Macaca mulatta: one gene and its partners. The protein of the gene in region 2 interacts with the protein of the main gene of each other region in a biochemical or structural test. Links are inferred from orthologs where the notes say so. Each region holds a gene or a part of one and is shown on either strand. Other genes may lie near its edges. The genes, in order: TARBP2, EIF2AK2, EIF2A, DHX9, DNAJC3, PRKRA and CDC42.

Region 1 (4,212 bases), on a different chromosome or scaffold from region 2:
AGAGACTCCAAGAAACAAAGTCATGGGGACCTGCAAATGCACACCCCAGCCAGGCTGCCCAAGCCTTCCTCACCAGTGCAGCTGGTGTCGCCAACGGTGACCCGGAAGGTGAAATTAGGCTGGTGGGCTTGGCCCTCGGCTTTGAGAAGGTCGTACACAGGCGTCTTCCCTATTCTGGTCCCATACTCCTGCAGAAGGCTGATCGGGGTCTTGCCTGGGTTGGCGGCCAGCATTTGCTCTATACTGGGGGAAGGGGCACAGACCCATATCACACCTCCCCTCTCTGCACCCACCTGGCCAAGCACTTCCATACCAGACCTAGGCACATTATGGGGGACATAGGGTCCAAGGAACCCCAGGCAGTCTAGCATCCATTGGCTGGGTTCCAAGTGTAGGTGCAGGCTGGAAGAGTAGGGCCCACTACCTCAAAGCAAGGGGGGAAGAATGCACTGCTCCTGCCTCAGTTAAGGTGGGCACGATCCTGTGCCCCATGCAGGTTGAAAGTGCATACCCCCTGACACAGTGCAAGCCAGGAACCCAGTACCCACCAAATGCACTGAATGTGGGGGCATAAAGCCCAGTGTTCCAGTGCAGTCTGGGAACCGGGCCAACCCCAAACTATTTAGAGCTGAAGGCAGCAGCCACTGCCCCGGTGCACGCCGGGAACCACTGCCCACTGCCCCAGTGCTTGCCGGGAACAACCCTCAGGCCAGGTGCATGCTGGGGCCGCGCCGCTACTCCCTCCGCACGGCCCCACGCTTTTTGCCCAGAAGGAATCGGTACGAGGCGGCTCACCTAGGCAGCCCGCAGCCCGTGGTAATGCCGGAGCCTTGCTCCTCTTCACTCATTCCCTCCTCCGTCCCCGCGGGCGCCACCGTGACTGCAGCCTCCACGCGCCCCAATACACCGCCGACGAGCTAGGGCCGGGGCCAAGCCCGGAGTCGCGGCCGGTAGGGCCCGCCGAGGGGCACGCTGGGATATGGAGTCCCCCGCCCACCCTACTTCATGAGCCTCCATCTGGAGGGGAGCTATCCGCCCCACAACCCTCCGCGTGGCTCGCCCGGGCCGGCTGCACCGCCTTCTGGGAGGAGCGGGCTCTCCGCAGTCGCTTCTCGAGAAGGCTGTATTTTTTTGTTTGTAATACCGTCCCGCCTCCTTCCTTCCGCGCCCCCTCTCTCCCGGGCCGTGAGGCTGTGGACATGCGTACTAGCGGAGGGGAAGCCGCTGGGTAGCGGGGCGGTAAGGACTCACTTGGGCACGGAGCCTTTTGGATCCCGAGAAAACTACAGAACCCAGGAGCCCGCGCGCCATCTTTGCCGCAGCTGGAGGGGCAGGGTCAAGCACGCACGAGAAGCTTCATGTTGTCATTGGTTACTCCCATTGCGTTTACTTCCTCTAGGCACATTGGAATTGGTTACTTCGACCAAAGGGGCGGGGACAAGGAAAAGTCAGCCCCCTGACCCCGCCTCCTTGGTGAAGGAAGGTTGTGATTGGTCCGGAGAGGTTGCTGTCGGATCCGGGCTCTTTGAGGTCTGAGAGGGTGGGCTTTACCTAGACGCCGGAGGGGACCGATGTCTGTCTACGCAGGGCTCTGGAGCTGGTGCAGATCCAAGTCAGTCTCAGACAGTCCCCTCAACCCACAGCCTAAGCCCCTGGCCCTTGGGCCTCCGTGACACAGAACTTGCTTCCTCTTCCTAGGTTGTCCTTCACCTCCTTCAGGTTTTGCTTCTTTTGTAAAACCTTTTTAGAACGGCTCTAGTGAACCTCTCTAACTGGCAAGGAAATCTCTGGGGCCTGATAATCAGGCTGTGGTGTGGGGCGACAGGATTAGAAGGACTAGGCACCTGGTGGTCTCGTTCCCTCTGCCATGAGTCTTGGGTCTCTCAGCTGAAGAAAGCAAGAGTGAATTTTGGCCGCCTAAGACTAATCAACTGATCTGGGTGTTGAGCAGACGCAAATTTTTTAGTCCTAGAGCCCCATTGCCTCCTCCCCCAAAGTCGCACAACCACTGGGCTAAGGGAAATCTTGTGACCTTGGAGAAAGGGAGATATCACATTTTTTAAAAATAAATAAATAAATAAAGGTTCTAATGAGTGTTCTGAGAAGGGGTCAAGAAAGAGATGTCTTACTCTGAGGCGGGGCTGGAGGTCCAGAGGAATCTTTAAATGATAATGAGGGGTCATCCAGGAACACTGGAGGAGGATGGGGCCTAGAGTCGAGTGAATTCCAAGTGGGTGAAATTAGAGTGAGCGGTGACAATCAAGGGAAGGAGAGCTGGCAAGATCAGTATGATAGGGGGAGCAATGCCAGAGCGCTAGGGATCCCAACTGAGGGGCTGCTCTCTCCGATGTAGAAAGGAGTCTATAAGACGAGTCATAGGGGGTTCCTGTGGAATCAGCCTAAGGCCTGAGGTGGGACCTCCATAGGACACCGCCAGCAGGGAAGCGCGGGGCCCAGGCGGGCCAGGGACGAGAGTGGAGCGCGCCGGATGGCAGCAGCGGGCTCCTTTAAGAGGCCGGCGGCTCCATCGCAGCATCCCCCGCTCAGGGCGTGTCCGTCCCGGGGGGCCAGGGGCGGGGGCCCTGGAAGGAGCGGGAGTTCAAGCCGAGCAGGGACGGGGCTAGGGGTCGGGGGGTGGGGGCAGCAAGCTGAAGCTGACACCCGTGCATCCGGACACCGCACGAGCATCGCCTGTGACAGCGCCCCGGGTCCGGTGGAGGGCAGCGGGGGGAGGAGGGAAGGAGGAGGAGAAGGAGGAGGAGGCGGGAGCAGCATCCGGAGCGGAGCTGCAGCAGCGCCGCCTTTTGTGCTGCGGCCGCGGAGCCCCCGAGGTGAGAGCCTGGCCGAGTTGTGGGGGGGTGGGGGGCAGGGATGGGTCCGGGTCCTGGGATCCGGGCGTGGAGGGAGGGTCGGGATGCAGATGTGGCCTGGTGCGGGTGGTGGTGTGGGGATGCTGAAGCTGTGGGGATGGAGGAACTGGGGACCTGGACCCGACGCGTGTGGGGCTGGGAAGGAAGGGAATGGAGCGGAGAGATGCCGCGGCCCAGCTTGGAGACGAAGGGCCTCCAGAGCTGGAAAGGACCGTATTGGGGTGGGGTGGAGGGTGATTGGGGGACAGACTTAAAGGACAGAGGGCAAGAGAACATCTCCTCCCACTCATCCTCAGGAAGGGAGAGAGGGAAGGAGGAGGGAGAGTTTTGGCCCCCTCCAGGGAAGGAAAGGAAGGGCAAGGACTGATGTACCCACATCTCCCTCCACACACACACAGACACACACACACACACACACACACACACTTAGCAGGCTGGACCTGAAGATTAGTCAGAGAGCACCTGTTCCTAGATGCCCAGGCGTTGGTCCCCTCCCCTTCCAGCTGTGATCCTCCTAATCCCCTCCAGCTGTGGCATTCACCTCCATCCAGCTGTTGCATCCTCCCCTCCCCCATTCACGTGTGGGTTTCTCCCTCCTCTTTCTCTCCATCTCCTCTGGCTCCCCTAACCCGTCTCCCCCAGTCAAACCCTCCAAAAACCTCCTCCCTTTCCCACAAACACTCCTCAAACTCATTGGCTTAAAAATAAGCAAGAGTTGAGACTTGCTGGTAACCAAGGCCTTGACTGAGAGGAGGGAAGAGTCAAGGCTCTGTAGACAGTGGGAGGAAACAGTGAGGTGTCCCTTAGAATTAAGGGAGGAGTCCTACCTTGTAGATGCTCATCTGCTGCCTTTTTCAGAGGAGCATAGGTGAGTGGCCTCCAATCAGGAGGGAGTGCACATGAGGTCTCCTTACCCCACCCAGAGTCGTCTCAAGCCACAGTCAGTGCATCCCTCTAAACACATTTCCCTTGCAGTTCTCAAGGTGGACTCCATTGCTCTAGGAGCTCTGAGTTTCAGCCAGAGGGTCATACCAAGCCAAGGCTAACAGAAAGGATTTAGGAAGGAAAGGACTCAAGTGCCCCCTGAGCCTTCCTGTCCAGACACTGAAGTTTCTCTGAGCTTTAGGGCCCCACTCCCTCCTATCTCACACGGGTGAAAAAAACATGTGTGTCCCCTCAAGCATACCATTCATCCACTCACTCCCATTGTCAACTGGGGTAATGTTGGGAAAACCCCAGCTCTCAACATGTAGACCACCAGCTAAATACCCATCCCAGTTACAGACAGAGGAGGCAAGAAGTTAGATGTGGCTCAGGATTTCCTAGGCTTTCTTATAGCTGA
Region 2 (3,500 bases):
TATAATGGAGCTAAAAAATTACTGTCATCTAGTGAGGTCATAGCCACTATAATGGCTAATTTTTTGTATTTTTAGTACAGACAGGGTTTCGCCATATTGCCCAGGCCAATCTCAAACTCCTGGGTTACAGCACCATGCATTACTCACATGTTTGCAGTGACACTGCTCTAAACAAATCTACTGTGCTACAGTCTTATAAAAAAGTCTGGCACATACAATTATGTACAGTACATAATACTGGATAATAATAAGTAACTGTTACTGGTTTATATTTATTATACTTTTTAATCATTATTTTAGAAGGCACTCTTTCTACTTAAAAAAAAAAAAAAAGTAAACTGTAAAACAGTCTCAGGCAGGTCCTTCGGTAGGTAATCCAAAAGAAGGAATTGCTACAATAGGAAAGAATAGCTCCATGTATGTTTTTGCTCCTGAACACTTTCCAGAGGGACAAAATGTGGAGGTGGAAGACAGTGACGCTGATGATCCTGATGCTGTGTAGGCAGGCTGGTGTGTGTGTGTGTGTTGTAATTTTTTTCTTTCTTTTTTTTTGAGACAGGGTCTTGCTCTGTTGCCCAGGCTGGAGTGTTGTCACAAGATCACAGCTCACTGCAGCCATGACATGTCAGGCACATGATCCTCCTGCCTCGGCTTCCTGAGTAGCTGGAACAACAGGCACGTGCCACCAAGCCTGGCTAGTGTTTTGTATTTTTAGTACAGAGAGGGTTTCACCATGTTGCCTAGGCTAATCCCAAACTCCCAAATTCAAGTGATCCACCTACCTTGACTACCAAAGTGCTGGGATTACAGGCATGAACCACCATGCCCAGCATTTTTTTTTTTTTTTTTTGAGACAGGGTCTCATTCTGTCACCCAGGCTGGAGTACAGTGGCATAATCATGGCTCCTCGACATCCCAGGCATGAAACACTGTGCCCAATCATGTTTTAATTTTTTAACAACAAAGTTTAAAAGTTAAAAAAAAAAAGAAGTTTAAAATTCTAAAAATAGAAAAAAGCTTATAGAATAAAGATGTAACAAAACAAAATATTTTTGTACAGCCATACTATGTGTTTTTGTTTTCGTTTTTGTTTTGTTTTGTTTTTTTGAGATGGAGTCTTGCCCTGTTGCCCAGGCTGGAATGCAGTGGCATGATCTCGGCTCACTGCAACCTCCGCCTCCTGAGTTCAAGCAATTCTCCTGCTTCAGCCTCCCAAGTAGCTGGGATTACAGGCGACCCCCACTACACCTGGCTAATTTTCGTATTTTTAGTAGAGACAGGGTTTCACCGTGTTGGCCAGGCTGGTCTCAAACTCCTGACCTCAGGTGATCTACCCGCCTCGGCTTCCCAAAGTGCTGGGATTACAGGCATGAGCCACTGCGCCTGGCTGCGTTTGTGTTTTAAGCTAAGTGTTATTAGGAAAGAGTCAAAATGTTAAAAATAAGAAGTTTATAAAGTAAAAGAGTTACCGTAAGCTAAGGTTAATTTATTATTGAAGAAAAAAATTTTTAATAAAATGAATGTAGCTTATGTATACAGTGTTTATAAAGTCTACAGTGGTATACAATAATGCCCTAGGCCTTCACATTCACTCACCACCCACTCACTGACTCACTCAGAGCAACTTCCAGTCCTGCAAGCTCTATTTATGCATGGTATGTGCCCTATATGGGTGTACTTTTGTCTTTTTTTTTTTCTTTTTGAGACAGGGTCCCCAGGCTGGAGTGCAATGGCACGACCTCAGGCTCGCTGCAACCTCTGTTTCCCGGGTTCAAGCAATTCTCCTGCCTCAGCCTCCCAAGTAGCTGGGATTACAGGTGCCCGCCACCACGCCCAGCTAATTTTTTGTATTTTTAGTAGAGATAGGGTTTCACCATGTTGGCCAGGCTGGTTTTCAACTCCTGACCTCAGGTGATCCACCTGCCTCAGCCTCCCAAAATGCTAGGATGACAGGTGTGAGCCACCGCGCCCAGCCTTTTGTCTTTTATACTGTATTTTTACTGTACTTTTTCTATATTTAGATATGTTTAGATACATGAATACTAAATTGTGTTACGATTGGCTACAGTTTTCAGTATAATAACATGCTGTACAGGTGTGTAGTCTAGGAGTAATAGGCTATACTACATAGCCTAGGTGCGTAGTGGTTGCTCCATTTAGGATTGTGTAAGTACTTCTGTGTTGTTTGCCCAATGAGAAAATTGCCTAAGAATGCATTTCTTACAATGTATTCTCCTTGTTAAGCAACGCATAACTGTATATGGGAAGATGCAAATAGGTTATATGCAAATACTATGCCATTTTATATAAAAGACTTGAGCATCAGTGGATTTTGGCATCCACAGGGAGTCCTGGTACCAATTCCCCGCAGACAGTGAGTGACCGCTGTACATCATTCTCCCTATAATCACTTTCATCTCTTTTTCCTCTTTTACTGCACTTCCTCAATTAGATGGAGGGGACTCATCCCAGAACCTGTCAGCTCATTTCCCACTGAACACTTCTCATCTTTCCATATTTGTTCAATTTTAGAGTATTTAACTGCTGCTGACACTCTGAATAACTATTCTCCAGCTTTGCCCACGGCGTCCTGGGTGTGCAGCTCTCACTCAGGGTTTCATAGAAATGAAGATGGGGGGAATGACTGAACCAAACTCTTGAATGTAAGGTAACGTGTGAATGGCTTTACTCTGTATGGAAGTATTTTCTCACAGAGAGAAATAGAAAATGCATTTGCAAGTTCCCATTTACTAGGAAAAAAAGGCAATCACTCACCTCGCTTTCCTTATTAAGTATATCAACAGCTAATTTGGCTGCAGCATTTTTTGCTTCCTTCTTTGATCTACCTTCAGCTTCTGGAAATGTTCTTCTATCTGTTACAACTTGAAATGTAAACCTGATTACAAAAAGAATATTCATAAAATATTATACAACTCATGCACTATCTAAAAACAAGTGCTCTAGTTACCACTACCTCCTATGACTACCTTTGAGGGTTTGAACGTACATTCAACATAGAATGGAAGCAGTCACCCCAAGCAGTAAAACAGCATGTCTTGTTGAAGTGTGGAAAGGTTTCTACCCTCTCTTCTCTCTGGAATCATCTGTGGCTCCAAAGTGGTTACCGCTTTACGCCAAGCGGACTCTCACAAAACAAAAGTGTTGACCTCAAAGTTGTGCCAGAGTTGCCATTCCCCCAGTTTACATTTATAAGATCATATCATTGTTTATAGCAACTTACCTCCTATCATGTGGAGGTCCTGTATTAGGCAGTTCTTGATAGCTCAATGATATTCCCTGCTTCTGACGGTATTTATTAAGTTCCTCCATGTAGAAACCTGGTACAAGATGACCAGCCATTTCTTCCAGTATCCTACAATGGAAGAGACATTTGAATGAGTGATGCTAACAGAACATATTTAACCTGAGTTTCCCAGTGCAGTTTAGGAGACAGAGGGGTTGGGGAGACTCTCCTTTATAGGACTCATCTCAGTCCCACA
Region 3 (3,500 bases), on a different chromosome or scaffold from region 2:
AAATTTAGTTTTAGATTGATAGCAGAGAAATGACATCTTTATAAAAATAATTCTTCTTAGTAAAGGCCATAGTTTGTCTCTCTGAAGAGTTTTAAAGTTTTCTTCCCATTGGCCCTATATATTTGTTATTTTTTTTTGCTATATATGGAATCTTTTATTTTTTTAAAGTAGCTGTTGGTTATAGTGTGACTTCGACTACATGAGCAGAGATGATTTTGTTTTCTTTCAAAACTGTATATATTCTACTTCTGCTGATTAGTTAGAGTGACTAGGTATTTCAGAATGTTATTAAAATAAAGTGAAAAGGGGAGCCATCCTTGTTTTTTCTTTGACTTCAATGGAAATACAGTTTTTTAAAAGGTAGATTACCCTACTTACATAAGTTCAATTCAAAACGAGAAAATTAGGAAGCTGTCAGTATTTTAAAACTATTATTTTAAAGTTTTAGTTCATTAAAACAACAGATGAAGTGGTAACATTCTTGGATATTATTATTTTGAGACGGGCTTTCACCCAGGCTTAAGTACAGTGACATGATCATAGCTCACTGCAGCCTTGAACTTCTGGGCTCAAGTGATCCTCCTGCCTCAGTCTCCTGAGGAGCTGGGACTACAGCCATATGCCACCATGCCTGGCTAAGTTTTTCTATTTTTTGTAGAGGCGGGGTCTCACTATGTTGATCAGGCTGGTCTTGAACTCCTGGGCTCAAATGATCTTCCCATCTCAGCCTCCCAAAATGTGTTGGAATTATAGGCATGAGCCACCATGCCTGGCCTCTTGGATATTACTAACAATTCTAAAGATAGTATTAAGCAATTTGCTGTCATAATTAGCTAAGTAAGCTCCAAAAGAGCTACTACAACGGAATTACCTCACTCAGGAAGTTTACTTCTAAAACGCTGGCATAACTCAAATAACTAATTGTATTCTGCCAAAATAAGGTATGTTTGAGGATGATTTTAAGTTTCTTAATTAAGAAGAATTTTATCTTGGCCGGGCGCGGTGGCTCAAGCCTGTAATCCCAGCACTTTGGGAGGCCGAGGCGGGTGGATCACGAGGTCAGGAGATCGAGACTATCCTGGCTAACATGGTGAAACCCCGTCTCTACTAAAAATACAAAAAACTAGCCGGGCGTGGTGGCGGGCGCCTGTAGTCTCAGCTACTTGGGAGGCTGAGGCGGGAGAATGGCGTGAATCCGGGAGGCGGAGCTTGCAGTGAGCCGAGATCACGCCACTGCACTCCAGCCTGGGAGACACAGCAAGACTCCGTCTCAAAAAAAAAAAAAAAAAAAAAAAAAGAAGAATTTTATCTTAAAGGTTATTAAGGTATTTGAATTCTATCTTTTGATCAAGAATTTAGATTATATCATCTTTATGGCATAGTATTTTTTACTACCATTGTTTCTAATCAAAGGAAGACTGCTGGAATACTCACGTAATTGCACTACAGCACTTTCGCCATTTGTTGCAATATAGTGCAGAGTTTGCTCTCCATAGTAGGAAGCTCCTGTCTTGTCAACATCTGTGCTAGCTATTACCAACACAGCAGTAGCTATAACAGTAAAAACTTTAATTAGATTTAAAACACAAATTACATGGGCATTGATTCTTCTGTTATATGCACAGGAATATAGCCTAAATTAACAACTGGTAAACAAGAGGGATAAAATATACTTAGCATACCTTTTTTATTCCACAGCATTGTAACTTTATCTGCCTTAAAGAAACTTTTATTAGCTAAAGCTGCATGAGGTCCAGCAAAGTTGGGGTACTGATATAATCTAACAAATGAAGGTGCACCTTTACTTCCTGGAACATAGACAGCCACCTAAGATACACACATAAATCATTACTTAATTTTTTGAGAATAAAAACTGAGATGGACATGTTTTTACAGTCACAAAAAACTAGGAAAAGGTTTAAACACATAATATTCCACTTAAACAAAAACAGCAATTACCTTGTATGGTTGGGGTCCAGGTGATAATACAAAATCATTAATTTTTTGCAAATGCAATTTATTTGCAATTGTGTCTAAAAAAAAGAGTAAATTAAATCAGATTGATGAGAGAGGCTAAAAGGAACATGTTAAACTCTGAATACATTATAAAGGATTACTATAACTACACACTAATAGTACTCACTGTAGTCTCCTGCTGGTGACACACAGTAACACAGTGGAAAAAGCATGGGGTAGGAGCAAGACAAATGTAGGCTTCAATTTCTACTCAGTCATTTACTTGCAGTGTGAGCTCAGGCAAGTAATGCGATTATACCACCCAACTCTCAGTAATTGGTTTTAAGAGAACAGTGCCAGGCACATGGTAGGTATTTGATAAATGTCAGTTATCCTCTCTTCAATCGCTGAAATAAAGTGGTCTTAGAGCCTATTAGAAGGAAAAGATCAACCTTGGCCTGCTACTGCAGAATGTGGATATGGAAATTCTATAACTTAATGTGATAAACAGATGCATGATAACCATGATCACAACCATAGTAACAATGGCTGATATTAAAAGCAGTCCAAACCATGCTGCTATTAATAAAACTGCTACCCTAGTTAATTAGATCAAGAGCTACTATACTTTCTTTGTTTGATTTCAGAGATCAATGGCTTTTCAAGCGCAGCGCACCAAACTGTCAAAGTGGTGATCCCTCTTCATTTGGCATGCTCACAAAGAGGCAAATCAGACAAGAAAGCAAGTTAACCCTGAAACAGCGAGGTGACAGTGCGCCTCAAACACAGGAAAATGAAAGGCATAATTATACTGATTGGATATTGCTCAAAATCAGCCTACATGCCATCTTTGGTATGTGTGAACAAAGTTACCAATTCCTATTCTAACTATAATATACTCAAAACTGTACAATCAGTAATGGGATGCTCTAAAGACAAAAATAACTGCAAACCCTTTTTAAAAAATTATTTTCAGCAATAGTGTCACTTTTTGGTATTAAGATTCTTTTTTTTTTTTTTTTTTTTTTTGGAGACGGAGTCTCGCTCTGTCGCCCAGGCTGGAGTGCAGTGGCCAGATCTCAGCTCACTGCAAGCTCCGCCTCCCGGGTTCCCGCCATTCTCCTGCCTCAGCCTCCCGAGTAGCTGGGACCACAGGCGCCGCCACCTCGCCCGGCTAATTTTTTGTGTTTTTAGTAGAGACGGGGTTTCGCCGTGTTAGCCAGGATGGTTTCGATCTCCTGACCTTGTGATCCGCCCGTCTCGGCCTCCCAAAGTGCTGGGATTACAGGCTTGAGCCACCGCGCCCGGCCGGTATTGAGATTCTAAGAATACCCTGTGGATAATGTGGAACAAACCAAATGAACGCTTATGTGAATGTGATATTCTCAAATTATCATCCCTGGTATTCCAGAGAAACAAGATTCTTGGTGGTAACAAAAGGCAATACAAATAAGATAGAAGAAATTAAATAAAAACCTTGTAGTCTTTAATTTAAATAAAACTATAAGCATAAAACTTTAATTTTAAAAAAACTATGATTGTTA
Region 4 (3,500 bases), on a different chromosome or scaffold from region 2:
TTCAGATTAGGGATGCCAAACTGGTAAATACAATGCAAATATTACAAATAAATCAAAATCCACTTCTGGTCCCAAGTATTTCAGTTTTAAAAGAGATATCTGACCTGTATAAATTAACAATAGCAAACACTTATTGGGAGATCATGATGTGCCAGACACTGTTCAAAGTATTTTACATTATTAACTCATTTAATTTCTTATACTAATCCTATGGGTTAGTCATTATTTACCATATTCTTTTTACAACTGAGGAAACAAGAGAGATTAAGTAACTTAGTATTGTATAGAATGAGGAAAACTCAGGCTTAAGGAGTAACCACTTAGTGTTATACAATATATTAGACACAAATAATATTAAAATCTAGGTCTCCATATTTCTAATTCTGGCTTATTCTCTATAAATGATTCATGATGAAGATTCTTAAGAAACATTTACACCTGATTCCAACATGGCTGGCAAAACTTAGATCAGCTTAAATTTGCAGGTTTACATAACTGCATGTCTGTCCCTACAGAGAACAGAACAAAAATCCCTTACTAAAGGTCAAGAATTGGTCTTACCTCTCAAAACGAGCTCGGCTGCACAGGTGAAAGCAGAATCCAGGCCGTACTCGGCCAGCTCGCCCTTTCCGCTGCTCAAGGTTTGTTTTTGATGCCCATACTGTAGCATAGTTGGTCATATTGTTGTGAGCAGTGAAGAGTTTCACTTTCTGCCTACATAGGAAAGACTGGTTAATTCTAAGACTCATGTGTACTATCAATAACTATTACATATCCACTAAGTAGTGAATCCTTTCCACTATGTAGTTAAAGTCATGCCTACTTGTGATGTCTATACATCAATGGCACAAGTAAAAATTATCAATTTGACTGCACACTCCTAGTTGTCAACCTACTGAAACGCAATGTAACATCTACCTGCCACTTACCAGCTGAACTGCCTTGGCCAAACTTTCTATGCCATTACCTACCTTATAAGAGTTTTTTTGTTTTTGTTTTTTGTAAACGTTAAGTAAATTAACAAATGCAAAGCATTTAAATGGAATATGGCACATACACAAAATAAAATAATTATTTAAGTCATCTCTATTCCAAAGTTTAGTGTAACTTTTAGGATATCTATATGTAGTGATGACTGTGTGGTCCTTCTGAACCCCCAGGCAACCTCAGATTCCTTCAATGTTACATACAGAGACAGCTGCCACTAAACTACTGGGACTGGCACAGAATGCTATTTAACATTTCCTAAAACGGATGTTGGCAGCAAATTGTTTTCATTGTCAGGACACACTAAGGAATTATACAGAGAAGTCATGGGGCACAAGTTGGCCAGATATAACCAAGTTTCAACGTTTTTGTCCTTTCAATTGATCAATTACCATGTAATTCCTGTATCTACACAGAATGCCTCCTGGCATATTTTCCAGGTTCATCTCATACCAAAATGAAGACCTTTAATCCATAAAGGAGGGTCCTTCAAGGTAGGATATTTGTCATGTGCTAAACACTGGTTATCTTTATTGATCAAATAGCATGCTATAGTATGTCAGAGATCAATGGAAATACCCAATGGGAAATTAGCGAAACACCAGCAGCCAAGAGCAATGAGAAGTAATCATCAGTTACAGTTTCAAGCTTTGTCACTTTCTACCATAACTGATTTGCAGTAATCAACACAAGTAACTACTCTTAATTATCAATTACCTATAATGCTATATAGATGCACTATAATTTTGGAGATATGAGAACACAGGAGTTTAAAAATAAGGTGTTTTTGATTCTGTTAACTGGTAAGAAGTTTCCAGTTGGTAATACTGGAACAGGCAAATAGGTTTCCCAGTAACTTACTTGCAGGAGTCAATGACATAAACAACATCGTTTATGGTAATGCTTGTTTCAGCAATATTTGTGGACAAAATAACCTGTGAAGAAAGAAAAATTACATTCTTATTACATACTTGAAAGGACTGATTTCCTTATGTAACAAATGACAAGAAAATTACAGAAGTCCTAAAAAGATCACCCAATAACTGATTAATGAACCATCTACTAAGCTCAGAAAGAGAAGACTCCTTTTTTCTTCCTCAATTTAGATGGGTTACAAGTTTTTGGTTAGCTCTTTGAAGGCCTGTAACATTTGTTTAGTCTCTACCTCACTTCCAGTCCCATCACTGTAATGTTTAATATTTACCTTGGTTACTCCAACTGGTACTGGATCAAACACTTTGCGCTGTTCCTCTCGAGGAATCTGAGAATGCAGAGGTAGAATCTGATACCGATGGCTTCCTATATAACAATACAGAACAATCAGGGACTAAAAACAGGAGCTGGTTTCAAACAGCTCTCCATTATACATACTTTTATTCAAAGGTAGAGACAACACAAAATTTTGTTTTCACATACTGGCTAAGGCACTAGCAAAACCACTCATTTTCACTCTCAAATACGTGAGAATTCAAAGATTCATACCAAAATGTGGATTCATTTCCAAATGCTTCTGCATAGTATAAATCAAATTCCAGCCAGGCAAAAAAACCAACACAGCTCCAGGAACATTAAGGGTTTCAATGTACTTAAGTAGAGCTTCGATGAGTTCAAAAGGAGTTTCCTTTTCGTTCAATTGAGACATGCTCAACCTTGTTTCTGGACCATATTCATCACCACAGATCAAGTTGCAATTTGCCTGTAAAAAATGGGGAGACATATTTTGGACTGTCTCAGTTACTACAGCTTATGAGATAAGTCTTCTAGATTTCTTCCACTGACTCTAATGACTTATAATGTCATTATTTATTCTAGTTGACTAGTCACACACTATAGAATACAGAAATTTAATTTCCAAAAACACAGAGCTTACATCAATATACCGAACTTTTCTACTAACTAGTACTTCTCACAGGATAGGACTAAAACTGAAGCACAAACTTTTAAATTTGACTCAAACCTCTCATGGAGCCTTCTACCGAGTATATTTCTTTTTTACTATTACTGAAATAATGTGGTATTCTCCAAAAAGTTTACATTAGAATCAATGATAAAACAAGTTGAGAAAGTTGTTACAATTGTTTTTTTCCTGCTAAATTTTCTAATCTGCTGTTCATTTACATCTTCAGATCTTTTGATTAAAAAGATATAATCTTAGGTTTTCTAGCAAATTCTGTATTGCTGGCTGGCTCAGTCTATATTTCCAGATAATTCATTTTTATACTATCATTTGTCCAACTCTCAAACACTACAAAGTAAGTCTTTCCTGTTTCTCCTAGGAAATCCCTCATCGCTCCCTGATTTAATACTCCATCCACCTGATACTGTCATCTCCAGTCTCCTGTAGCTAAAGCTATAGCTGCTGTCTCTGAAACTTTATTGTATATACAGATCACTTGGGGATCTTGTTAAACTGTAGATTCTGATTCAGTAGATCTAGGGTGGGGCACAGGATTCTGCCTTTCTACCAGTTTCCCAGGTGCTGCAGCCTACTGAAAACACTTTGAGTAGCAAAA
Region 5 (3,500 bases), on a different chromosome or scaffold from region 2:
ACTTAATGGGTTCCGTTATTTTCATGGAAGTGTTTACTGACCAAGAAATAAAACTTGATCTCTGTATTGTTCAATGTGCTCAGTATAAGTCAGACTTCAACAGGGTATTTTACTCAGGTTCGGAATTCTGAGCTTGTTTCTGTAAGGAAATTCTTCTGGTTTGATTGGTACTTACAGGTATGCTTTGTTCTGTCCATCTGCATCTCCTATGGTCAGATGTTTTTATTTCTTAACTCTTAATTATGGAGTGTACCTTCTATGGGACTCTAGATTAATAAGGGAAAAGCCAAATCTGAAGCCGTGGCCTCATCCAGTTGGATTGATTAAGCAACACATGGTGAAGAGGGGAGGAGCCTTTCTACAGCTCTGGAAATCGAATGTCATTGTTTCTTATCATGATTTGCTCATTTCTTAGATACACAGATGCTACCAGCAAATATGAATCTGTCATGAAAACAGAGCCAAGCATTGCTGAGTATACAATTCGTTCAAAGGAGCGGATTTGCCATTGCCTTTCTAAGGTAACAGTTGACTTGTTCCCAGAAATGTGAAAACTCATCATGTGGAATACCAACCATAAATCCCTTTCTCACATTTCCTTTTAGGACGAGAAGCCTGTTGAAGCTATTAGGGTTTGTTCTGAAGTTTTACAGATGGAACCCGACAATGTGAATGCCCTGAAAGACCGAGCAGAGGCCTATTTGATAGAGGAAATGTATGATGAAGGTAAATCTTTAAGGAATTTGATTTGCAGTACCGAAGTGTTGATTAGGAAATTATCACATTTTAAGCTTCCTTTTCCTTAAAACAAGTTTACCGGAGTACCTGGAAATGGTGACGATTTAGAAAAATGGCAGAGAGCTTGAAAATTACTCTTCCATAGTGGAACCTGAAAGGTATACCATGGGAGGAAAGAGTTCTGCCATTGAAACCAGTTCAGTACAATAGAAAAATAAGTATTTTAGCTTTTTTTTGTAGAAAGTTAGGAAAAAAATAAAATAGAAAATTTAAATGTAGTTCTCATGTCATCCAGAGGTAATCACTGTTCATTTTGCATTTATCTTTTCCAGCTTATGTCTATGCACATACATTACTCTATATTTTATGCACATATACATATTCTCTCTCTCTATATATATATACACACACACACACTCGGTGTGTATGAAACATATATACAGAAAGCATACATATATGTCATATATCCCTAATATAAAATGATCCTCTGTGACCCCAAACTGTGTAGTAAAATAGGACAGTTGCTGCCCTGTTTTGTTCAAGCCGAATGAAGTAACAAGATTCCTGCTAGATGTTGTGAGGACCTTGGTTAAAAGCAGTGTCCTGTTTTTGGAAGAAAACTGTGGCGTATATAGTAATATATAGTTTTTGAAAAATAGAATCCATATATATATATGGAGATATATATATATATAGTTTTATACTTTTTTTCATGTGACACTAAGTTATGAACATTTAAATGAAACAGTTTTTAAAAAAATAGCGTTATAAGCCCTTATTGCAAATATTTTGTTTCAAATTCAGATAAAGCATTTTAAATCAAAAACTAATTTTCTCTTATAGTTAAATGAAGGGTTTGAATGGTAAAATTTGGTTTGTGATACTCTTTTTAAGGCAAAACTGGTCAATCTATTTTTCCCTGCTTTCCTCAATTAGAAAAGAATCTTGCTCCTAAGCAAGTTCCCGGTTTCCAGGGAATGATAACAACCTGGTCACTACTATTCCTGTGACATCTTGTGGGGGATTCAGACCTTGAGGTCTCTGAATGAGGCTTGAAATGAATGCAGTCAAAATGATGTTTTAATATTCATAAGCATGCTTCAATAAGGCAGGTAGTCCACATAGAAAATCCCTTTAGCACACTCGTTCTCTTTCCTTTTGAGCCACCGTGTCTACTCGCTGAGATGGTTTTACTCTAGGATTTTGCATTCCAGTTAGTTTTTGGAACTCTTTATCAAAGATACTTTTGTCATCTGTATGTAAACCCTTAGCTCTTACTGCGAAATTAGAGAAGCTACAGAAGAATATAAACAGCTTAGCTGTTAAAAAAAAAAAAAAAAAGAAGGCTAAATCTTGTAGAATGCTAAATATAATTTGAAAGATGCTTTTGAAACTTGAATGTTAAACTGACTTGCTTTTTGGGGAAACCTGATGGCTTAATTCTGGAAGAAAAAGATGCTTAGTGCTAATTTGATATAATTGATCTGGTTTCTTTTTTTTTTTTTTTGGAAATGGAGTCTTGGTCTTTTACCCAGGCTGGAGTGCAATGGTGCAATCTTGGCTCACTGCAACCTCCGCCTCCTAATTGCAACCAGTTCTTCTGCCTTAGCCTCCCGAGTAGCTGGGATTACAGGTGTGCACCACCACGCCTGGCTAATTTTTGTACTTCCAGTAGTGATGGGGTTTCACCATATTGGCCAGGCTGTTCCCGAACTCCTGACCTCAAGTGATCTGCCTGCCTTGGCCTCCCAAAGTGCTCGGATCACTTGGCCCTGCCCAGTTGATCTGTCTTTGAAGCCTGTTGTTTCCTTGAAAAAATTCTTTTGTATAGGAATTTATTAAAGAGAGAGAGAGAATGGTTGCCAGCTCTCTAAATTTGCAAAAGAAAGAAAGGAAAAGAGCCTGTATAATTGAAACTGACAAGTATTACCTGACTCGTTTGGATTGGAATCAGGGGTTTAGTAAATGATGTAAATAAATAATAATCTTACTTAACTAAGCTAAATAACAGTATGTCTTCAGTTTACTTGAGTTAGAAATATGCTTTCCATATTCTTCTTCCTGGTTTTACCTTTTTTAAATAAGCAATTAAAAATGATGGCAGGTACATAATAAAGAATGAATAGGTTTAGGTTAGTGAATAATGGAACATGGACGTTTATTAATTTGGGGCTTAGAATTATCAGGAAACATATCGGGATATCACTCAATAGAAAGGAAGTAAAGTAAGACTGTTATTTGAGGATGCCTCTGAGATCTTGAAAAATCAAGGGAAATTCTTTATCTCTGCATGTCTCCGTTTTAATAGCTTTTGAGAGGAAGAAACTGACATTGAAGCAATACGAAAATATTGACAAATTCCTTTGAATATAGGGGTAACACAGGTGTCCTTAGGAAATGATCAGTTATATTTTGCTAGAACTTTAGCTGTGTGAGGGCAGAGACCTGTGGCTGTTATATTAACTGATGCATTCCTGGTGCTTATGCTGGCACTCATGTTTGCTGAATGAATGAAGGTAATTTATTTATTATACAATGAAGTCATAGTGGAGAGTAGGGAATTTAGAATTAGTCCTGCCTTTGAGTCTGGCTTTGTGCAGTTATTCTATTTTTTTTTTTTTTTTTTTTTTTTGAGATGGAGTCTCGCTCTGTAGCCCAGGTTGGAGTGCAGTACCGTGATCTCGGCTCACTGCAACTTCCGCCTTCCGGGTCCCAGTTCAAGCAATTCTCCTGCCTCAGCCTTCCGAGTAGCTGGGATTACA
Region 6 (3,500 bases), on a different chromosome or scaffold from region 2:
TGTACAGCCTGAAGGTGAACCCAACCAGTAAGTACACTTGTAGAAATGAGGGGTATAGAGTGTCCTTTCTGCACCTGGGCACTTCACTTTGTCAGCAAAAAAAGCTAACAAACTTTACTATATTTGTGCTTCTTGACAGATAAAATGGGAATTACTAAGCTGTAATCAGGCCTAAAGTGGCCTGACTTAATACAGAGACTTTCTCACTTCTCCATCACAATTATTTGGGTAGCTTCGGCATGCAGCATTGTAAGTGAATACTCATATCTCATCAGCCTATGTAAAGCTTGAAGTTCTCGCAGTTGGAGAAAAAGAAAAAAAAAAAACCTTGAGGAAGTGGCAATAACTAAACCTCACTTGTCATGGAAAAATGACTCCAGTTGCCTAGGTGGTAGTAACCTTGAAATGCCGCTTATTCAGTTTTAAGCACTGACCTGCCAAGTAACTAGTAATTCCCAACTCCCTAGAAGAGGTTCTCTTTTTCCCTAATCATAATCCCCACATGCTAAAACCAAATTCATCTAAGCCATCTATTTTATGCAGGATACATGTAAATCTTAGAGGATTATCCCAGCACTGAGCAGATGACAGATCAAACAGATCTCTCTTCATAGTTCTCTGGATGAAAAAAACAATGTTTATAAATAATCTGTATTGTTCACATTGCCAGGTTCAATTTTCTGGATCATTGTTACTCTTCTATTTTTTGCATAGTTGTAACAGAGTATTCTTTAAATATTTTTTTATGACATGCCTATTACGTACAAAACGCCACAAAGCTTATGTAGGTAAGTGATACATAGGCCCTACCTCAAGGAGCTTATAGTCTGAATAGGGGAGAGGTATGGTGAAGGATGGACAAATTATATGTATTTGTAAGAGTATATAATTTATGGTAAAACAATTTCCTCAAGAAAGGATTAAACCGTGTGTTATAATGTTTCAAAGAAGGGAGAGATTATAAACCACTGGGGTAAAAGGATAGGCTTCTTGGAGAAAGTGTCATTTGAGATATATCTTGGATGACAGATCAGATTCCCATAGAAGAGGCCTGAGAAAAGGGCATTCCATGTAGAAGGAATGACAAGAGCAAAGACATAGAGAGTTAATTAGAAAATGCTTGTCATTTATTTCATAATTTGGGGGAAATTATTTTGTTTTATAACACTTTTAAAAAATATTTAGCTTTGCAGTTCCTGATCCCTTAATGCCTGACCCTTCCAAGCAACCAAAGAACCAGCTTAATCCTATTGGTTCATTACAGGTAAGTTGTACAGTTCTTTGCCTACTGATGAAATATATAATAAGTTTGTAATATCAGAGGGGCTAACACAAGGAATTAATATTTTAAAGACAAGATAGTGATATATTTTGTTTTCCAACTTACGATCATTAGATTTATAGAGCTAACTTGAAATTATTCCATATACAGTATTTGCCTTTGGCTTATACAATTCTCATTTAAGATCAATAGGCCCTCAGTGCACATGGGTAGAGTGTTTTATACTTTAAGAATAGTTCTTGCTACTCTTGTGACAAATCTCTTTCTACTTCTGTTGAGACAGAAGACTTTATAAAGAGCCTAAATCAAATCAGTGAACCTAACTCAAGAAAAGGAGTCTGCTTATTTGCTTATTCTACCGAAAAAAGAAAAATTTATATCTACACACACTCACATATGCACACATATTCAGCTTTGAATTTCTATATGCAGAATATCCTTGCAGACTATTCATGTGCTCTGTTAGGCCATTCCCCTCCCCATTATTCAGCCAGTCCTTTGGTCTCTTTTTCCAGCACTATGAGCTTTTCTATAGTTTTCTTCACCTTCTGTCCCCCACCTCATCCAAGTCTGTTGTTTGCTGTCCCTACTCATGTGTTCTTGGCCAGCTGTGGGTTTGGAAGTCTATAGCTAGGAGGGGAGGGACTTTAGGAACTGATGGCAGTGAAACCTGTAGATGGTCTCCTCTGGTGTTCCCAAAGAGGGCGGTAGTAGCCTGTTTTTCTAGTTGAAGTCTCATACCAGCTCACTATGGTTTAATTCAAGAACACCATTCATAGCAGAAAACTGATTCAGTTTTGGTATTGGGATATAAAGATACAAAATGCAGGAATGTCTCTGAGAAATAGAGGGTCTTCCCTCTTTTATCCGTTGCAGAAAATCACTATTCTTTTCAAACATATACATAGAAATGGGATCAAAATTAAGAAAATACTTATGTGATTGAGCCATTGCATAAAATTACTATTAAAGCCTCATCTTGATTTTATAGGAATTGGCTATTCATCATGGCTGGAGACTTCCTGAATATACCCTTTCCCAGGAGGGAGGACCTGCTCATAAGAGAGAATATACCACAATTTGCAGGCTAGAGTCATTTATGGAAACTGGTACTTATTTCTTACAATTAAAGGCATTTGAAATATTTTCAGATGATGAATGACTATAGAAATTTCTGTCATAATGTTTTCCAGTATTTCTATGCAGAAAAGTTGATACACTCCTCTTTTATAGTCTCTGACTTTCTGAGGCTGAACTTAAGTATAAATATTTGGCTTAAGATACTTAGTCTTAATTTGATATTTTTAAAAATCAGAGATTATTAATAGAAACTATTGGCTTGTACTTTAAACAGTCTTCATTGATAAATTAGTGACTTTAAAAAAACTCATTTTGGAGACAAAGCTATAGCAAATCTCTTGGATTTTATTTAAGAGCTATTCTATCTAGAAAATAGGACTAGAGGAAGATTACCCTTGAAAACGATATGATTAATAAGAGACTAGATGGCAAATAATTGCAGTGAGATAAAAATGAAAATTATCTTTCTTAATTGTAGCAACTCCTATGTTATAAAGGATATAAACTGTAAGAAACACTGTCACTTTAGAAAGTACTAGTGAGAATTCCTGTTAACTTCTCTGGCATGTTTTTGTCATTTTTTAAAGTGGCTTAAAATGGGATTTTACCTTAACTAGATAATAGTTTCAAGTAATAAGAAACTGTGTGCCTTTGGGAGGTAGTGTGGGCTCTTACAGAAAGCACCAGGTCAAAAGCAAGAACCTCAACTTCCATTTTTGATGCAGTCCTTGATTTGCAAAGTTAAGCAAATTAATCTCTCTGGACCTCAGTTTTTTAATCTATAAAACAAAAACATGGAGATAGATATTTGTGGTATCTTTCAACTCCAGCATCCCCTGTGCCTTTCTTATTCCTGTTTAAAGGAATTCCATATAATTGTCAGTTTAGAGAAGATCACAAGCAGGAAATAGACATTGAGAGAGAGGAGTTATAATTCAGATGTATTTTAATAAATATGAATAATTGGTCAGAATTAAATGTGGTTCAGTAATGCTAGACATAGGAAAATACAATTATTATAGAAAAACAGAAAGCATAACTATTAAAAACTTAAAACAAATGCCTTCAAAAGTGTAAGAATTAGTAACTATACAGGCCAGGCACAGTGGCTCACCTATAATCCCAGCCCTTTGGGAGG
Region 7 (4,292 bases), on a different chromosome or scaffold from region 2:
GAGAGAAATAACGGTTCCCTCAAAGTACTCAAAGTGTCCAAGAAAAGGCTGACAGATTATTTGCTGGGATTTTTTTTTTTTTTTTTTTTTTTTTGAGACAGAGTCTCCCAGGCTGGAGTGCAATGGCATGGTCTCAGCTCACTGCAACCTGCCTCCCGGGATCAAGCGATTCTCCACCTCAGCCTCCTGAGTAGCTGGGACTACAGGTGCATGCCACCACACCCAGTTAATTTTTGTATTTTTAGAGAAAATTTTAGAGACGGGGTTTCACTATGTTGGCCAGGCTGGTCTCAAATTCCTGACCTCATGATCTGCCTGCCTCAGCCTCCCAAAGTCCTGGCATTACAGGTGTGAGCCACTGCGACTGGCCAGCTGGGAATTTTGTGAGTAAAATTCATGTTATTGGGCACAAACTGCATGATGTGAGACATCTTCTGTAACAAGATGCTTAATATGTAAATAGACCATAAAACCCTTATCAAATTCAGTACAGCATATACTAATATTGGTTGTACTAAGTTATGTGTGAAAATGGGAGGTTTAACAATGCTAAATGGGAAAAGACCCAACACAAATTCTGGAGTCTTTAGAATTAATTTACAATAGAAAAGCAATGCTTTCATATACAACTATAATCTGTCAATTTACAATAAAAATTTAAAAATTAAATGATATATATAAAAAGAAAAGCAAAGCTTTCCAACTAGGAGAAGAATGCCACATTTTAAGACCAGCCCTACTTAACCTTTGGGTACCTACTCTGATTTTCTGATTTATGTTTTAACAGACTGCTCAAGAGCTTATTTAAATGTAAAGAAGAAGAGAAGCAAGGGCCTGAGGGAGATGACAAAGGAAAGTTCGTTCTTAAAAACAAGAACAAAGAAATCGAATGAATGTGATTAAGCTCTCAAACCAAACACATAACTTTCTTAAATCGCACTTAAGAGACTCAAAAACAACCCTCCTTTACTGGATTGTTCATATCCAAAACCAGACTAAGAATCAGAAAAGCTGGCTTCCATTCCAAAGTCTACTTTCCCTAGTGTAATTACACTAAGTAATTAAAGTCAGACTTCTAAGTCTCATCCCTAAATTGGGCCTGAGTACTCTCATCCATAAGCGATGGATAAGACAGTATGTATTGTCCCATTCAACTCTGAATTTCTATTACTCTAGAAACGGCAAGCTCCAATTTATAGATGGGAACTAAAATGCATTTTACACCAAATCCATTTCCATACTAACTTCAACAGGTACCATGAGAACATTATTTGTGCCTCATGGTCCATTCATTTACCTAAATCGGCTCATTTAAAATTTTATTCTACTACTCTTCCTTCCACCCTATCACTTTTCCAGAGATGTACACACAAACATACATATAAAAAACCCACAAGCCCACTTAAAATACAACACCAGAAGATCAAAGTCATAAAAGACTCAGAAATTATGTTTACAAGTTAAACAACTTCAATGGAAACTAAAACAGAAAAACTCTGATAGCTGTCCTCACTCTGAAACAAGATTCATATACCTCTAAACGTCCCCTGTAAGTCCACTGAACCTCACAACATCTTCCATTTATCTTGTCTCCAAATGGGCCAATTCAAAATATCAATGTGATTTTAGTGTTTAATAATACCTTCAAATTCTCCCCCCTTCAAAATAAACAACTTTACTTATTTTTGAGACAGCGTCTCACTACCTTTCACAAATGAGTGTTACTCTAACTCTTGTCTCTCTCTCTCTCACTTCAATATCTTTGTTATTCCCACCTTCCTTCTCCCATTCCAAAGAGCTGATTTAAAAAACAGCTGTGGGGTCGGGCATGGTGGTTCACGCCTGTAATCCCAGCACTCTGGGAGGTCGAGGCGGGTGGATCATTTGAGGTCAGGAGTTCGAGACCAGCCTGGCCAACATGGTGAAACCCTGTTTCTACTAAAAATACAAAAATTAGCTGGGCGTGGTGGCGGGCACCTGTAATCCCAGCTACTCAGAAGGCTGAGGCAGGAGAATTGCCTGAACCCAGGAAGCGGAGGGTGCAGCAAGCCGAGATCGCACTACTGCACTCCAGATAGAAGGGGCGATAGAGACTCCGTCTCCAAAAAAAAAAAAAAAAAGGTTGTGGGGGGTGACCCCCAAAGGTTTCTGTTGGTATTCTCATAACATAACAGGTCTTCTCTTCTCTGCCCCTAACAACCAGTTTGGAGCTCCATTACTGCTAAGAGAATAGTTCCACAAGAAAAGTGGAGACACATACAACTTTCTCTCAAGTTACAGGACCCCAAATGGTATCCCAGGAGACCTCCAAGTACTGTTCAATAACTGGCCAAAATATCCAAAAAAAAAAGTCACCTCATTCCAAGATGTAGGGCATACTTCACCAAATTGAGATCACCACTCGTTAGAATCTTGTCTACTGGAGTTTTGCCTCCCAGCACTTCTTGTAAACCCTTGTGTCACCCCTTCTGACTTTCCACTGATTTTTCAGCTGTTTAATTTTAAAGTGTATATAATTTACCCATGAGAAGTCAAGATCTTTAAAAACAGGAAACAAAGGCAGAAAACAGAAAAAAATTCAGTACACACAGAGAAAGAATTTTCAAAAGGGTATCAAATTTTACATTTTACTAACAGAAAGAAGCCTTTATACTTACAGTTGGTACATATTCCGATGGAAATTTGTTTGTTGTGTAGGATATCAGGAGACATGTTTTACCAACAGCACCATCGCCCACAACAACACACTTAATTGTCTGCATTGCTGAAATAGTTTTGTATCCACTTTAAATATTTCAAATCTGATGTTGACCTGCAAAAAGATTAAAGACATGTTTGTTTATGCTTATATATGTATTTTTTTTTCCTCACTTAGCAACAGGTTAAGGCACTCAGAGCAAGAAAAGAACTAGCACAATTATTATGGCTAAAAGAACCCAATAAGAGAAACAATGACTTGCTATAAGTTACAATAACAAATAAGGTTCATTTCTAAGTTTCTGATCCCTGGCTGTTTCAACTTCTTAAGTGTTATTTCAGAAGGTCCCAACTGGTGTGATAAACAGCAAATTTATTTTTATAATGAAAAAGAAGAGACTGTATCAGAGAAAATTCCACATACTGTACTAAATATTATTTTGTGAAAGCTTTTCTTCGGTTACACGTGCACACACACCTGTATGTATGCATGTATGTGAACTAGACTGCAATACAAAGGCCACCGCTTTAAAGAATGGTTCATTATCCAGCCTTACTCAGCCTTACTCAGGCTCTGACCAACAAGCAGTAGAGCCTCACACGAATTATATGAGTAACGTGAGGAACTGAACAAAGAACAGGGTGATCGCTGGCCTCAGCAGCTGTTTTAGCACCAGAATGCCTAGTCCAAAACCTACATTTTTATAATGAAAAGTCAGACTGCTCTAAAGCATACTGACTTATAAACAGATACTACAGCTTCTCTTATTCGAGTTCTCCTCAATTTTAAGAAGTTATCAATTACAAGTACCAAAGAGTCATTAATTTGAGAAACTTTTTTTCATTTAAACATCTCTAAAGTCAGAATGTATCTTTATTGAGTCTCTTACAATCATTATCAGCCATTTTTCCCCCACATTTTGACTTCTATGAAATTGGAATCTTAGATTCAATGAAATACTTTAACAGTTTTCTGAAAGAATAAAAAGAAATACCACCCAATATATACCTAAATTTTAAGATTTATTTATATGTAAATTAATTTAAATTATAATCCTAAAAGGGTTTAATTAAACATAAAAATACAGAACCACCTAACTCTTGGTCAGATGCCACCATGCTCCTATAGCACCATTCACAACAATTAATCATAACAATTTATAAACGCCTATTAACATCCCTGTAAATGAACCTATAGTACCTCAAGCACCACTATACTTCTAGCACTGAGCACTTCTAGACTGGCACACTGCGAGTTGTTGAAAGGATGCAAAAATCAAGAACACGAAATTACACTAGTGTGAGTAACCTACAGGAAATACACACTCTCCCGTTCCTCATCAAAATTATCTGCAGTATATTTTTCTTTTTTTAAACAGGGTTTTACTCCCATACCCTAAGCTGGAGTGCAGTGGCACAACCTCAGCTCACTGCAACCTCCACCTCCCAGACTCAAGCAATCCTCCCACCTTGGCCTCCCAAGTAGCTGGAACCACAGACACATGCCACCATGCCTGGCTGGGTTTTTGTTTTGTATTGGTTTTGGTTTGGGTTTTTTTAAGAGATGGGGTCTCACTGTTACCCAGGCTGGTCTT

The links.
Region 1: the proteins of EIF2AK2 (region 2) and TARBP2 form a complex in vitro, tested with the Homo sapiens proteins (2 studies listed by BioGRID, with this or other methods). The link is inferred for Macaca mulatta from reciprocal best matches to the Homo sapiens genes EIF2AK2 and TARBP2.
Region 3: of the proteins of EIF2AK2 (region 2) and EIF2A, one has a biochemical effect on the other in vitro, tested with the Homo sapiens proteins (4 studies listed by BioGRID, with this or other methods). The link is inferred for Macaca mulatta from reciprocal best matches to the Homo sapiens genes EIF2AK2 and EIF2A.
Region 4: the proteins of EIF2AK2 (region 2) and DHX9 form a complex in vitro, tested with the Homo sapiens proteins (2 studies listed by BioGRID, with this or other methods). The link is inferred for Macaca mulatta from reciprocal best matches to the Homo sapiens genes EIF2AK2 and DHX9.
Region 5: the proteins of EIF2AK2 (region 2) and DNAJC3 form a complex in vitro, tested with the Homo sapiens proteins (2 studies listed by BioGRID). The link is inferred for Macaca mulatta from reciprocal best matches to the Homo sapiens genes EIF2AK2 and DNAJC3.
Region 6: the proteins of EIF2AK2 (region 2) and PRKRA form a complex in vitro, tested with the Homo sapiens proteins (3 studies listed by BioGRID and IntAct, with this or other methods). The link is inferred for Macaca mulatta from reciprocal best matches to the Homo sapiens genes EIF2AK2 and PRKRA.
Region 7: the proteins of EIF2AK2 (region 2) and CDC42 form a complex in vitro, tested with the Homo sapiens proteins (2 studies listed by BioGRID and IntAct). The link is inferred for Macaca mulatta from reciprocal best matches to the Homo sapiens genes EIF2AK2 and CDC42.

Annotation. Positions count from the first base shown.
Region 1 is NC_133416.1:60,654,483-60,658,694, reverse strand, and holds the start of TARBP2 (RISC-loading complex subunit TARBP2), read right to left. Parts: upstream 2,801-4,212; 5' UTR 849-2,800; coding exon 796-848; intron 685-795; exon of another isoform or gene 549-684; intron 244-548; coding exon 74-243; intron 1-73. UniProt on the Homo sapiens protein: Required for formation of the RNA induced silencing complex (RISC). Component of the RISC loading complex (RLC), also known as the micro-RNA (miRNA) loading complex (miRLC), which is composed of DICER1, AGO2 and TARBP2.
Region 2 is NC_133418.1:87,794,655-87,798,154, reverse strand, and holds part of EIF2AK2 (interferon-induced, double-stranded RNA-activated protein kinase), read right to left. Parts: intron 3,374-3,500; 5' UTR 3,361-3,373; coding exon 3,242-3,360; intron 2,897-3,241; coding exon 2,776-2,896; intron 1-2,775.
Region 3 is NC_133407.1:53,591,207-53,594,706, reverse strand, and holds part of EIF2A (eukaryotic translation initiation factor 2A), read right to left. Parts: intron 2,034-3,500; coding exon 1,960-2,033; intron 1,828-1,959; coding exon 1,683-1,827; intron 1,552-1,682; coding exon 1,435-1,551; intron 1-1,434. UniProt on the Homo sapiens protein: Functions in the early steps of protein synthesis of a small number of specific mRNAs. Acts by directing the binding of methionyl-tRNAi to 40S ribosomal subunits.
Region 4 is NC_133406.1:40,339,667-40,343,166, reverse strand, and holds part of DHX9 (ATP-dependent RNA helicase A), read right to left. Parts: intron 2,684-3,500; coding exon 2,470-2,683; intron 2,287-2,469; coding exon 2,192-2,286; intron 1,923-2,191; coding exon 1,849-1,922; intron 715-1,848; coding exon 562-714; intron 1-561. UniProt on the Homo sapiens protein: Multifunctional ATP-dependent nucleic acid helicase that unwinds DNA and RNA in a 3' to 5' direction and that plays important roles in many processes, such as DNA replication, transcriptional activation, post-transcriptional RNA regulation, mRNA translation and RNA-mediated gene silencing.
Region 5 is NC_133422.1:90,497,350-90,500,849, forward strand, and holds part of DNAJC3 (dnaJ homolog subfamily C member 3), read left to right. Parts: intron 1-415; coding exon 416-521; intron 522-605; coding exon 606-726; intron 727-3,500. UniProt on the Homo sapiens protein: Involved in the unfolded protein response (UPR) during endoplasmic reticulum (ER) stress.
Region 6 is NC_133417.1:83,391,672-83,395,171, reverse strand, and holds part of PRKRA (interferon-inducible double-stranded RNA-dependent protein kinase activator A), read left to right. Parts: exon of another isoform or gene 1-327; intron 328-1,185; coding exon 1,186-1,264; intron 1,265-2,273; coding exon 2,274-2,391; intron 2,392-3,500. UniProt on the Homo sapiens protein: Activates EIF2AK2/PKR in the absence of double-stranded RNA (dsRNA), leading to phosphorylation of EIF2S1/EFI2-alpha and inhibition of translation and induction of apoptosis.
Region 7 is NC_133406.1:218,932,870-218,937,161, forward strand, and holds the start of CDC42 (cell division control protein 42 homolog), read right to left. Parts: upstream 2,801-4,292; 5' UTR 2,763-2,800; coding exon 2,658-2,762; intron 1-2,657. UniProt on the Homo sapiens protein: Plasma membrane-associated small GTPase which cycles between an active GTP-bound and an inactive GDP-bound state. In active state binds to a variety of effector proteins to regulate cellular responses. Involved in epithelial cell polarization processes.